2 linked regions of the Caenorhabditis elegans genome follow. The protein of the gene in region 2 purifies or fractionates together with the protein of the main gene of each other region. This does not show direct contact. Each region holds a gene or a part of one and is shown on either strand. Other genes may lie near its edges.

Evidence for each region. Proteins that work in one complex are often made in the same cells at the same time.
Region 1: the proteins of R11H6.5 (region 2) and prmt-5 fractionate together in Caenorhabditis elegans (co-fractionation; one large-scale study listed by BioGRID). This does not show direct contact.

The regions. Positions count from the first base shown.
Region 1 is NC_003281.10:5,228,663-5,235,007, forward strand, and holds prmt-5 (Protein arginine N-methyltransferase 5), read left to right. Parts: upstream 1-1,892; 5' UTR 1,893-1,916; coding exon 1,917-2,212; intron 2,213-2,261; coding exon 2,262-2,343; intron 2,344-2,436; coding exon 2,437-2,630; intron 2,631-2,711; coding exon 2,712-2,993; intron 2,994-3,037; coding exon 3,038-3,443; intron 3,444-3,720; coding exon 3,721-4,202; intron 4,203-4,821; coding exon 4,822-4,993; intron 4,994-5,217; coding exon 5,218-5,436; intron 5,437-5,484; coding exon 5,485-5,556; 3' UTR 5,557-5,845; downstream 5,846-6,345. Other genes in the region: atp-2 (ATP synthase subunit beta, mitochondrial), read left to right, coding at 36-665, 713-1,424, 1,473-1,573; mrps-26 (Small ribosomal subunit protein mS26), read left to right, coding at 5,956-6,117. UniProt on the Caenorhabditis elegans protein: Catalyzes the symmetrical dimethylation of arginine residues in targets such as small nuclear ribonucleoproteins, histone H2A/H4 and cbp-1.
Region 2 is NC_003283.11:14,609,191-14,614,750, reverse strand, and holds R11H6.5 (DZF domain-containing protein), read left to right. Parts: upstream 1-2,528; 5' UTR 2,529-2,535; coding exon 2,536-2,727; intron 2,728-2,779; coding exon 2,780-3,008; intron 3,009-3,055; coding exon 3,056-3,238; intron 3,239-3,283; coding exon 3,284-3,855; 3' UTR 3,856-4,017; downstream 4,018-5,560. Other genes in the region: ccnk-1 (Cyclin-like domain-containing protein), read right to left, coding at 1,162-1,449, 1,536-1,658, 1,702-1,827, 1,872-1,956, 2,006-2,106, 2,159-2,194; R11H6.4 (Shugoshin_C domain-containing protein), read right to left, coding at 4,125-4,271, 4,316-4,447, 4,491-4,615, 4,662-4,680.

The sequences.
Region 1 (6,345 bases), on a different chromosome or scaffold from region 2:
TAGTCAGATAAATTCAATTCAATTCTGGTTTTAAGGTCTCTGCCAAGGCTACAGCTGCTAACGCTTCCGGACGCATTGTCGCTGTCATCGGAGCCGTCGTCGACGTCCAGTTCGATGAGAACCTTCCACCAATCCTCAACGGTCTCGAGGTAGTCGGACGTTCCCCAAGACTCATTCTTGAGGTCTCTCAACATCTCGGAGACAATGTCGTCAGATGTATTGCTATGGACGGAACTGAAGGACTTGTCCGTGGACAGCCAGTTGCTGACACCGGAGATCCGATTAAGATCCCAGTCGGACCAGAAACTCTTGGCCGTATCATGAACGTCATTGGAGAGCCAATTGACGAGAGAGGTCCAATTGCATCCAAGAACTTCGCTGCTATCCACGCTGAAGCTCCAGAATTCGTCGAAATGTCCGTCGAGCAGGAGATTCTTGTTACCGGAATCAAGGTCGTCGATCTTCTTGCCCCATACGCCAAGGGAGGAAAGATTGGACTTTTCGGAGGAGCTGGAGTCGGAAAGACTGTGCTTATCATGGAGCTCATTAACAACGTCGCCAAGGCTCACGGAGGTTACTCTGTGTTCGCTGGAGTCGGAGAGCGTACCCGTGAAGGAAACGATCTCTACCACGAAATGATTGAAGGAGGAGTCATTGATCTCAAGGTTAGTAGGAAAAAATGGTTCATGGTATTTAAATAAACAATTTATAGGGAAAGAACTCCAAGGTATCTCTCGTATACGGACAAATGAACGAGCCACCAGGTGCCCGTGCTCGTGTGTGCCTCACCGGTCTCACTGTCGCCGAGTACTTCCGTGACCAGGAAGGACAAGATGTGCTTCTTTTCATTGACAACATTTTCCGTTTCACCCAGGCTGGATCTGAAGTGTCCGCTCTTCTCGGACGTATCCCATCCGCTGTCGGATACCAACCAACCCTTGCCACTGACATGGGAAGTATGCAAGAGAGAATTACCACCACCAAGAAGGGATCCATCACATCCGTCCAGGCTATTTACGTACCTGCTGACGATTTGACTGATCCAGCTCCAGCTACCACATTCGCTCACTTGGACGCCACCACTGTCTTGTCCCGTGGTATTGCCGAATTGGCTATCTACCCAGCTGTCGATCCACTTGACTCCACCTCCCGTATCATGGACCCCAACGTTGTCGGACAGAACCACTACGACATTGCTCGTGGAGTTCAAAAGATCCTCCAAGATTACAAGTCCCTCCAAGATATTATTGCTATTCTTGGTATGGATGAGTTGTCCGAGGAAGACAAGCTTACCGTTTCACGTGCCCGCAAGATCCAACGTTTCCTTTCCCAACCATTCCAAGTCGCTGAGGTGTTCACTGGACATCAAGGAAAGTTCGTATCACTCGAAGAGACAATCCGCGGTTTCACCATGATTCTCAAGGGTAAGAATATTTAAACGTTGAAAACATTAAAATTAAATCAATTTTCAGGAGAACTCGACCACCTTCCAGAAGTTGCTTTCTACATGCAAGGAGGAATCGATGATGTGTTCAAGAAGGCCGAAGAACTCGCCAAGCAACACGGAAATTAGTTTTATTTTTTTTGTTATAACGCCGACACTTCGTTTTTCTTTTTTTCAATGTTTTTTGGTAGAGATAAATTTAATGTATAGTTTATTGTATTGTTGCGGTAGTGCTGTTTCCGTCAGACCACTATTTGGTGACTCCCAATACGTTGTTTTCCATCTCTCACTCTCCCTTCTTCGAATTCAACTACCAACCCAAATGCCCTAAAAGGCAACAAAAATAAAGCAAAAACATTATTTTTTTCACACCCCAAGTTCATTTGACTTCTAGTATATTTTTATCAGAAATAAACAGAAAGCCGATGATAAAACTGCGAGTTTGTTGATCGTCAAATTTCAGGTTAAACGAATGAGTAACAGAACGTATGCCGATAATCTGTTTCCACAACAGGTCGCGGAGCAGCATGAGGAACAGATGTCTTCTGGTTCTTCGCCCAAAAGTAATTCTCCCAGCAGAAGTATAAGCTCTGTTGAGGCAGCGAACTCTAGAATACACATCGGATGGATGGCCACAACCTTGGACGTTGCCGAGAATCTAGACCGTCATGTTGCTACTTTCTGTACACGACTGGGAGAGTTCAAGTATAACTTTGTCGTCTACCCGATTGGAGGGGTCGTTCGCGCATTCTGGACGCCTAATGGAAGGTTCACATCGACTATCTTACCCAACTTCAACTAGACTACTAATTTTCAGCGCGGAGAATCATCCACCTGTTATTGATTTGCCCGATGTTCAGCTGAGAAATGATCTCTGGGAAAGCTATGTTGTAGGAAAAGTATGGGGGGTTTTTTTTTTAATTTTAATTACTTTTTCGAAGAACAAGCCCTTTATTCTTAAATTAAAACCTGAAATTGTCATTTTTTTCAAGATTTCTCCATGGATCGACTGTGACTCTTCTGATCCAGCCTTTGCCTCGCTTTCCGAGGAACATCTTCTGAAAGAGCTCAGCTACATTTGTTATTTGGGTCTTCAAACGATGGCAATCGAGCTCACACGCATCTCGTCGCCTCGTACTGCTGCCATTTTGAAAAAATGGATTTGGACTAGAAATTCGCGTTTTACGTAAGTAAAATGCAATATGAAATAGCTCCTTTTTTTCAGTAAAATATTTTTTAAAAAAGCAAAGTTTATATTTATTTTCAGTGTTTGGGTTCAACTTCCGTCTGCAATTGAAAAGTGCAAAGATTATGACGCTTTCACAATAGAACATGTTGATTTATGGACAATTTGGGCCGATTTCCGGAAGAATTGTGGTAATTTCAGTGGTGTTTATTTCCAAGTGGCTTTGACGATCTCTTCGGAACTTCCCGATGAGCTTACTGAGCTTAAACTTGTGGACCGTTGGAAGGCCGAGCCCCTAGCAGCTTTTGTTATCGAATCGGGTCTTTTTATTTCTGGAAGAAATGGAGAAGCATCAATTCCAAGGTAAATTTCAAGATTACATTTTCAAATAAATACTAATTTTTCAGTGCCCACATAAATTTATTAAAACATCTATGGACAACTGATGCACTTCGGATCGTTCTTCGTGCCACAACGGATACATTCAAGTACAATACTTCTATCAAATCCGAGTATTCTCAAGCTCTTCGTCATGCAGTTCGAAATGTTAATTACCGAAGTCGTCCTGATGTTGGAGAAGGATCGAATGACTCCACTCATTATCTTAATGTTATCGAATACAAAGATGTTTTGCAAGCACCTCTTCAACCATTGTCTGAAAATTTGGATTCAGGAGTTTATAATACATTCGAGCAGGATCAAATTAAATACGACGTGTATGGAGAAGCTGTAGTTGGAGCATTAAAAGATCTTGGAGCTGACGGAAGAAAAACTGTTGTCATTTACTTGTTGGGAGGAGGACGTGGTCCTATTGTGAGTTTTTGGCTATTAAGTAGAAAAAGTCCCTTTTAATTCGACATGAAAACATATTTTGTGGCCAATTGAAAACACTCCACCCCCTGACCATGGGTCTCGTTTGGAAGTTGGCGACAAGCCGGAAATTCAAACATTTTGCAGTTAATTTTGCCAATTGTCTGAAGCGAACTGCAACATTTTTCAATTTACAGTTTTTCGGTCTAAATGAATATCAAAACGGGCATTTTTATGCGTCTCCATAGTTTTAAATATTATAAATTTCAATTTTTTTCAGGGAACGAAAATTCTGAAATCTGAAAGAGAATACAACAACACATTCCGACAAGGCCAAGAAAGTCTCAAAGTGAAGCTTTATATTGTTGAAAAGAATCCAAATGCAATCGTCACTCTGAAATATATGAATGTGAGAACATGGAAACGACGAGTAACGATTATTGAAAGTGATATGCGAAGTCTGCCGGGAATTGCGAAAGATCGTGGATTCGAACAACCTGACATAATTGTTTCGGAACTTCTTGGAAGTTTTGGAGATAACGAGTTGAGTCCTGAATGTCTAGATGGTGTCACTGGATTTTTGAAGCCAACAACAATTTCAATTCCACAGAAGTACACTAGCTATGTGAAGCCAATAATGAGTACTCATATTCATCAAACAATTAAAGCTCAAAGTATTCCTTATTTGAGTCGTGCAATTCCATCGCATGGTAGAGGTGAACCGGAATTGGATGAAGACGAAATGTGGATTCAAAAATACCCGTTTGTTTTTCAATTTTTTTATAAAAATATAAACATTCTGCCTTATTACCCCGATGCCAAATTTTGCTAGTCCCGGTCTCGATTAGACAAAATTTTTAAAATTAAAAAAAAAATTCAAACAAAAATCTTTGTTATATGCGAAAACGTGTGCACCTTTAAACTATACTGTAATCTAAGACTTGTTGCTGCAGAGTTTTTATTAATTTTTTATAGTTTTTTTTGGTTGGCATTTTATTATTTTAGTTTAGTTTTGATAAATTGATATTGATTTTTATTTAAAAAACTATGAAAAATCATGGGATATTGAAATTACAGTACTCTTCAAAGGTACAAAAAGTTTCGTATTAACGAATATTTATCGTGTAGATACCGGGTACCGTAATATTAGAAAAAGTATCGCTAAAATTCATGTTGTGGTAATAAATATTTCTGAAGTTTTCTACTCTTGTGTACATAAAGGCCCTGGCCGAGTACACGGAGGTTTCTAGGCCATCTTTTCTTGACGGGAGTATCCGCTCCACAAGTTATGCTTCAATTTACTCTTATTTTAGAATAATTTTTAATTAAAAAAAAAGCATAAAAACTTTTTTTTTAAATTTTAATAAACATTTTCTTTCAGACAAGGACATGTTCGTAACAATATGGATCAAATCTACGTTGTATATCTTTCAAAATACATTCCACTTGCCGAAACCACCAAACCAGTATTCACATTTGAACATCCAAATTTCATGAATTCAAGCAATGAGAGAAGCGATTCTATTGAATTTGTTATGGATAGAAATGCAGATGTAAGTTTTTCAGCAAAAAAAAAAAAAAAAACTTAGAAATTCTTAAGAAAATTTAAAAATATTTTTTCGTTGATTATTTGAGGTAATTTGCTTATATTAAATGCAAAATTCGCACAAATGACAGTCCACCTTTGAAAATAAAACAATGAATTGAAAAATTTTATTGATAAAATATGTGTTTATTAAATTAAAAATCAAATAAGTTAGAACCTAATTTATTTCAGCTGATGGGATTCGCCGGCTACTTTGATCTTCAACTCTACAAAACCGTGATGCTTTCAATTGAACCATCAACTCATACACCTGGAATGGTCAGTTGGTTCCCAGCTGTTATTCCACTTAGAGATCAATTGAGAGTTGGAGAAGGTGACAGAATTTCTCTGAAAATCGATCGAAAAGTTGACAATACTGGTGTGTGGTACGAATGGCATGTTGAAAAAAAGGTAACAGTTTTTGATAACTTATTAAGATTATAGTTGAGTTTTTTCCAGAAAACCAATGGCGAATCTGTGAGCACCCCGATCCAGAATCCAAATGGAGAGAGCTATTACATGAGAATGTAGTGCCTAGTTTTTCGCTTTTATAATTATTATTTTCCTGTTTTAATCCTAATTGTTGATGTGTTATTCACTTTTGCGCCCCTATTGAATTTCCCAATCATTCCTAGAATTTTTTCCGTTGGTTTTCCCATTTCCTGTTGCCCATTTTCCGGTTCATTAATTTGAAGATTCTTTTTTGCTCCGGTATCTATCGCGATTCGATTGTTGCTCCTTTTAATTCGATATTAATTGTTTAAAAATTCAGTTTTTAAGTTTCCGTTAATTTTCCGAATTAAAGAGCTTGTTTTATTCTGTTGTTTTTTTGTAATTTTGAATTATAGTTATTAGTTTTCATACTAAAACATATTTTTATAGAGATTTTAAAGTTTTCCCAATTATTTTTCATTTAAAAATATTTTCAGAATGTTGATAAACAGTTCTCGTTTATCAATTTCTTCAACGGGACGATGTCTTTTGGCATCTGCCATGTCACAAATGGACGAAGTATTCGGAGTACAGAAGAGACAAATGGGACGACGGCAACCAAAGCAGGGAAAACCACCAATTTTGCCTCCATCGAAGAAAGTGAGTTCTATTGATTTTTTCACTAGAACAAAAATTGGAACATAAAAAAATCCAATTTTTGCCGAAAAAAATGCGCCAGCGGGGCTTTTTCCCAAAATGACAGAAAATGTCTCAATATACCGAATATAACTGTTAGAAAATTTACAGTATTTTTCTAACTCCTTAAAAATGGGTTTTTTCAGTCTTGCAACAAAAAAACGTGCAACTTTTTATTGAAAAATTTAGAAG
Region 2 (5,560 bases):
GCCTAAATTCCGTTTGAACTTCCTCCAAAATTAGAAACCACACCCACTTTCAAGCCAATAAGCACTTTTGAACTCCGCCCACTCAATCTGATTGGTCCAAAAGTGGGCGGAGAGAGGAGCTGATTGGTCACAGTTTTGGACGTAAATTGAAAAATCGCGTGGCGTTTTCGAATTTCTGACAATCACTACTTTCACTAAATACGTAAAATCGGTCCAAAAATAAAACTTTGCTCATTCTAGACGATTTTTGTACTTGATTTTGTTAAAAGTGTGCCGCTGATTATCCTCACAATTTTCAGATTATTTTGTCAGTTCCTTCAATTTCTACAGATTTTTTAAAATGTGTTTCGATTTGAAATCAACAGTGTTTTATAATTCTAAAATTTAAATTATCAGAAATTTAATAGGAAATCCGTTTAAACAACCGTGCGGCACTCTTGCAAAAACTTCGCGCCAGAGTTGCGAAAAGAAAGGACGCTTAACAGTTTTGCTGATTTTTTTTGTCATTTTTTAGTTATATGTTAAATATACTATACAAAAGGAGAAAAAAATCATATAATCTGAAAATGTATGTATACATATTCTGTGACTCGTGCGCGATTAGCGTCTTCTTCCGCCGTCCCGCCCACTTTTTCTCTCTTCAGATGCACTTTTTTGGCCGTCGAAAATGGTGCACATTTATCTGATGCGCGTACGTCCGACACGGAGTTGTCTTCTTCTATCTTAAACGGCTTCTGAAACTTCTCTTCACAATTATTCAGGTGACGTGTTAATGCAAACAGAAGAAGAAGAAGTAAAAGTAAAGGGGAACAAAAAGAAGAATAAAAAGAAAAGACATAAAGACTGCTGATTCTTTTTTGTGTTATTATAGTCATCTCTCCGTCATCACGTCGTCAGTAATCCATCCCCCGAACCTCTCTCTTCTTCCCTCTTCGCGTGGGAACACGGCGCACCGAAATTCGAGAAGGATTGGTTTCGACGACGTTGTACGGAACGAATTGATTGTGAATTGGTGCCCAGGGGATTTGTAAACAAATACCAAATAAGTGTTCAGATTTATTTGGTAAAAGAGATCAACACAATCCAAGATTAGGTGTTCTGTACAAAAATAATCTGGAACAGAAGAAGCAAGAAAATATAGAAATATTAGATTTTTGAAAACTAAAAAGTTGTGAGCTTCTTTTTCTCCAGAACCGGTTTTTCTTTAGTAGCAGCGTAGAAATCTAGCACCAGATGACATGCCTTGTCAACTGATTCTTGAGGCCAATTACTAACATCCGCTGACCACCAACATGGATCCATATTCTTCTGAACAGGCTGATATCCTTTTACAGTGAACGCAAGATGTAAAAGTGCTATTGCAATCATTTGTGGCTCCGTGGTAATGCACAATGTGGTGTAGATGCTGTCGTTGATGAATGTCCAAGCTATTTGAACGGCGTCGGTAATCTGAAAATGTGTTTAATTTTGTAATCGAAAAAATTTCTAAAATCGGAACACGTAATGATTGTTGAAAAATAATTTTTTTTACTAACCTTCTCACGATTCATATCTGGAAACATCATCTTATAATCCAGCAAAGCATCGTACGGCAAAGCAACATGCAAGTCAAATTTAAGACTGTGCAACAGTACTCTTTCCAGCCCCATTACATCGTCCTGAAATATTCAATTTATCAAGTTTATGAATCACTTTACTGACCACAAGGTTCTGGTACTTTGAATAAATTTCTGGATAATGAGTCACAGCCGCTTGACAAACATCTTTGCATTTTTTCGGGAAATCTTCGACTTTTCCAGCCAAAAACAAACAGCTTAGTGCAGTTACCTGAAAAAAGTAATTTTAATTGTGCCTGGTAAACTTATAAAAACCTCTCGACTGAATGACTGGAAACTGTGAATCATATAAAACCGATGAAAATATACAGCTGCAACACCGATAGTGGGGCGCGGTTTACTGCAAAATTGAATTTTGAAATTTCGACTTTTTCGAAAATTATATTTACCAGTTGAGGGCATTTCCGACTTCCGATAACAGCTTGATACCTTCACGGCGCCAGAGAAGCTCTTGTTCTTTAGTTAAACCAGCTCTGATGGACGGTGTTGTCTAAAAAACAGTGAAAAATTTAAAAAACGACAACAGAATTTGGTGTCCTTGCCTTTAGCGCCTCCAGCGGCCAAATCCAATCGGACATTTTTGAGATCTGTGAGAGTACTTGATTGAATTGTGAATTTTGAAAAAAAATTGCCCGAAAAAATAGTATAATTTTAGTTAAAACGAACGAATTGATTGAAATTCGAGAATTAGAAAATTAAAATTGGCATGCATTTTTTCGATAAAACACGGTAAGCAAAAGTCCGCAATGTCAAGTCCGCAATTGCACACCGTAGTTGCAAGAATATTTTCATGCTGTTTGCATTTTTTAATTTGACAAATAACAACATTTTGTACATTTCGAGTAAAATATATTGCAATTTTAAACACTTTTTTCACTTTTTATTTCTAAAATTATCAGTTTAATGTTTCAGCTTTCAAATGAATTATAAACGTTCCGCGTTCCGACGCAGCGCTGGGTCTCGTGGATTTAGGACACCAAATATGGTTCCCGGTGGCAATTTTCCACAGTTTGGAGTTCCAATTCCACAATTCCGAACAATATACGACTATACGCTTGACAAAGGCAATTTAGAAGGCACAAAGAATACATCTGATGCGGTTTTTGAGAAGGTTAGCTGATATTCCATAAAAAAATTTTTAATGCTGTATGTTATATTTGTAGGAAATACTGGATCGCGCTGCAAATCTTACTCCATCCGTCGAAATTCGGAAAAGAATCAATGAGTACGCGAAAAAGGTTATAGTCGCTTTGGAAAAAGAAAAAAGAGAAAAGACGCTCGTTGATATTGGAATAGCGACTATCAGTCATGTTGGATCGTTTGTCACGGATACGACAACTCATTCCAGTGACAAAAGTGATGTAGTTGTTCAGCTGAGTACATTACCATCATGTAAGTGTTAATAATTAACATATTACAGAAAAATAACAATTTTTCAGATGAAACAGTAGCGGAGCTCGGTAGAAAAGTAGTCGAAAACATGAAAATTGCCGATCCAAAAGAAACAGGAGAACCATTACAAATGGAATATGGATGTTTAATCACTTCTCATAACTGTCAGGTCAGACTTCTAATCACGATTATTCCTGAAGAATCAACGAAATTGGAACCGCTGTTACATTGTAAGAATTTATTGAATAAATAATATTTTAGTCAACATTTTTCAGTGGACAGCAAGCAAATGATGATCAACTTCTTCTCCACTCGCCACATCACCTGGTTCTCCCAAATTTCCAGCGAGTTGCCACCAGCTTTCATTCAAGAATGGCAAGCACTTGTTCGAGTTTTAAAGGATACCCGTTCAAGATACAGCGACTTCCAGCCTCTTTCTATTTGGACAATCCAGTACCTTGCATTCTATTGCCTTGCAAACGGACCAAATCGCCAGAAAGCCTGTTTGGGGACTGCTTTCCGGCGATTCTTTGAAATCATTGCTGCTGGTATCTTTCTTCCAAAATCACCGTGTCTGATTGATCCAGTATCAGCCAACTATCGCATTGGATTCGACTTGACGCTTCCTCAAATGGATACAGTTTGCATGGGAGCTCAAACTCTTGTCAGAATCTTTGCCACTGGAAACGACGGTTATCGTGCGATTCTTGGAACCCATGGAACTGCAGCCGACCTGACACAAACCATCTCAACGTGGAAAGGAATCGAAATTCGTCCGAGCATCGATGCCTACCGGGACGGATGTATGACCAGATTCCCTGCAAGAGCTGAAATTCCTACAGTTTAAATTTTACCCGAGGGAGTAATAACTAATTTTAATTAGTTTCATTAAAATAACTTAATTAAGAAAGCCCTTAAGATCTCTTCCATCCAGCTTCTTTGTTTCTAAAACTTTTAATGTGAAGTTTTCAATCTGAAAAAATAAATAAAAAATATCATTTCCGACAAATGAATTTGCTTTTAATTGATCTATGGGAAACCGGAAATTATTCATTGAACAAATATTTGTGTGATACGAAAAATTTCAGGGCATTGAAAAATGAAACGAAATGATATTTACAATGGTTTAGAAGTGTTAATTGGTGATTTTCCAGCGATAGAACTTTTGTATGGAGTCTTTGGTGGAAGTCTTCCAGCAATGTTTCCACTTGGTTCTTCTTTCGACTCGTCAATGCTGGTTTTGAATGTGAACCGGCTCGTTATCTTGATTTAAAAATTGAATTCATTGCAACTACTTTAGATCTTACATTATTATTTCCTCCCGGCTCCTCCTCACTTGTCTTGCTCAAACGTCGTCTCATCAGCTCTGCAGTGACCCCTTTCACATGAGAAGTCGGAGTTCGACGCGGTAGACGGCGTTGTGCAATTTTCGCGGCAATCTGAATTGAACTATTCCAGAATATTTAGGCATACAAAACTAACATTTGGCGTTGTTGGAAAATCATCGCCATCCTCTTTACCCGAAGATGATCGTGGATCAGATGATTGTTCAGGTTCTGAAGACTTTTCTGCAACAAGGTTCTGCTCTATTTGAGCTCTGTGGTGGTCTGGAACATGGGACTTGCAGAAAATTTACAATTATAAAAATCCTACTTTTCAATTTTGAAGCCATAATTGAATAGAAGCGAAATAAGACTGAAAATGATGCTGGAATAATGAGGAGGTGGTGAGGTGTGTGTATGTGTTTGAGCGGTGAAAAAGAAACTGTTGGGTGACGATAGAAAGAAGAAAAAGCGGTGTGGATGAGTCACGGATTGATAGAATAAAATAATGGAGACGACGAGAAGACGACAAAAATTGTTGCACAACAAAAACATTGTAAAACACAAACGAAGAGACCGCCCGCTTCTTTTTTTTTTGGTTTTCAGATGAAACACGAAATCAGCTTGCAACTCGTGACTGGATGAAATTTCAGATATTTGATCATTCACGATTGTCATATTACGGGAACACAAAATTCTGAGAATGCGTATTGCACAACATATTTGACGCGCAAAATATCTCGTAGCAAAAACTACAGTAATTCTTTAAATAACTACTGTAGCGCTTGTGTCGTTTTACGGGCTCGATCTTTGAAATGAATTTCTTTTCGAATACTGACGACGATATTTTGAAGCTTTTAAGTTGTCTTCCAATATTTTATCCATTAATAAACTATGTCCGTAAATAGACACAAACGCTACAGTAGTCATTTAAAGAATTACTGTAGTTTTTGCTACGAGATATTTTGCGCGTCAAATATGTTTTGCAGTACGCATTCTCAGAATTTTTGTGTTCCCGTAATACAGCATTAGTAATTTTAAAAATTCCAACGTTATATTATTTATGAACGTCTCAACTTCGAACATGATATCTCTACGCGAACCTATTCACAGTAGTATCGATGTTTCTTAATTTTTTCTATTTTTGTTTTTCTTGTTGTTTCTTTTGAATACGAATCCTTTGGAAATACAAAAAATATAGCTAAAATATAGAAAAATGTGCACCAATTT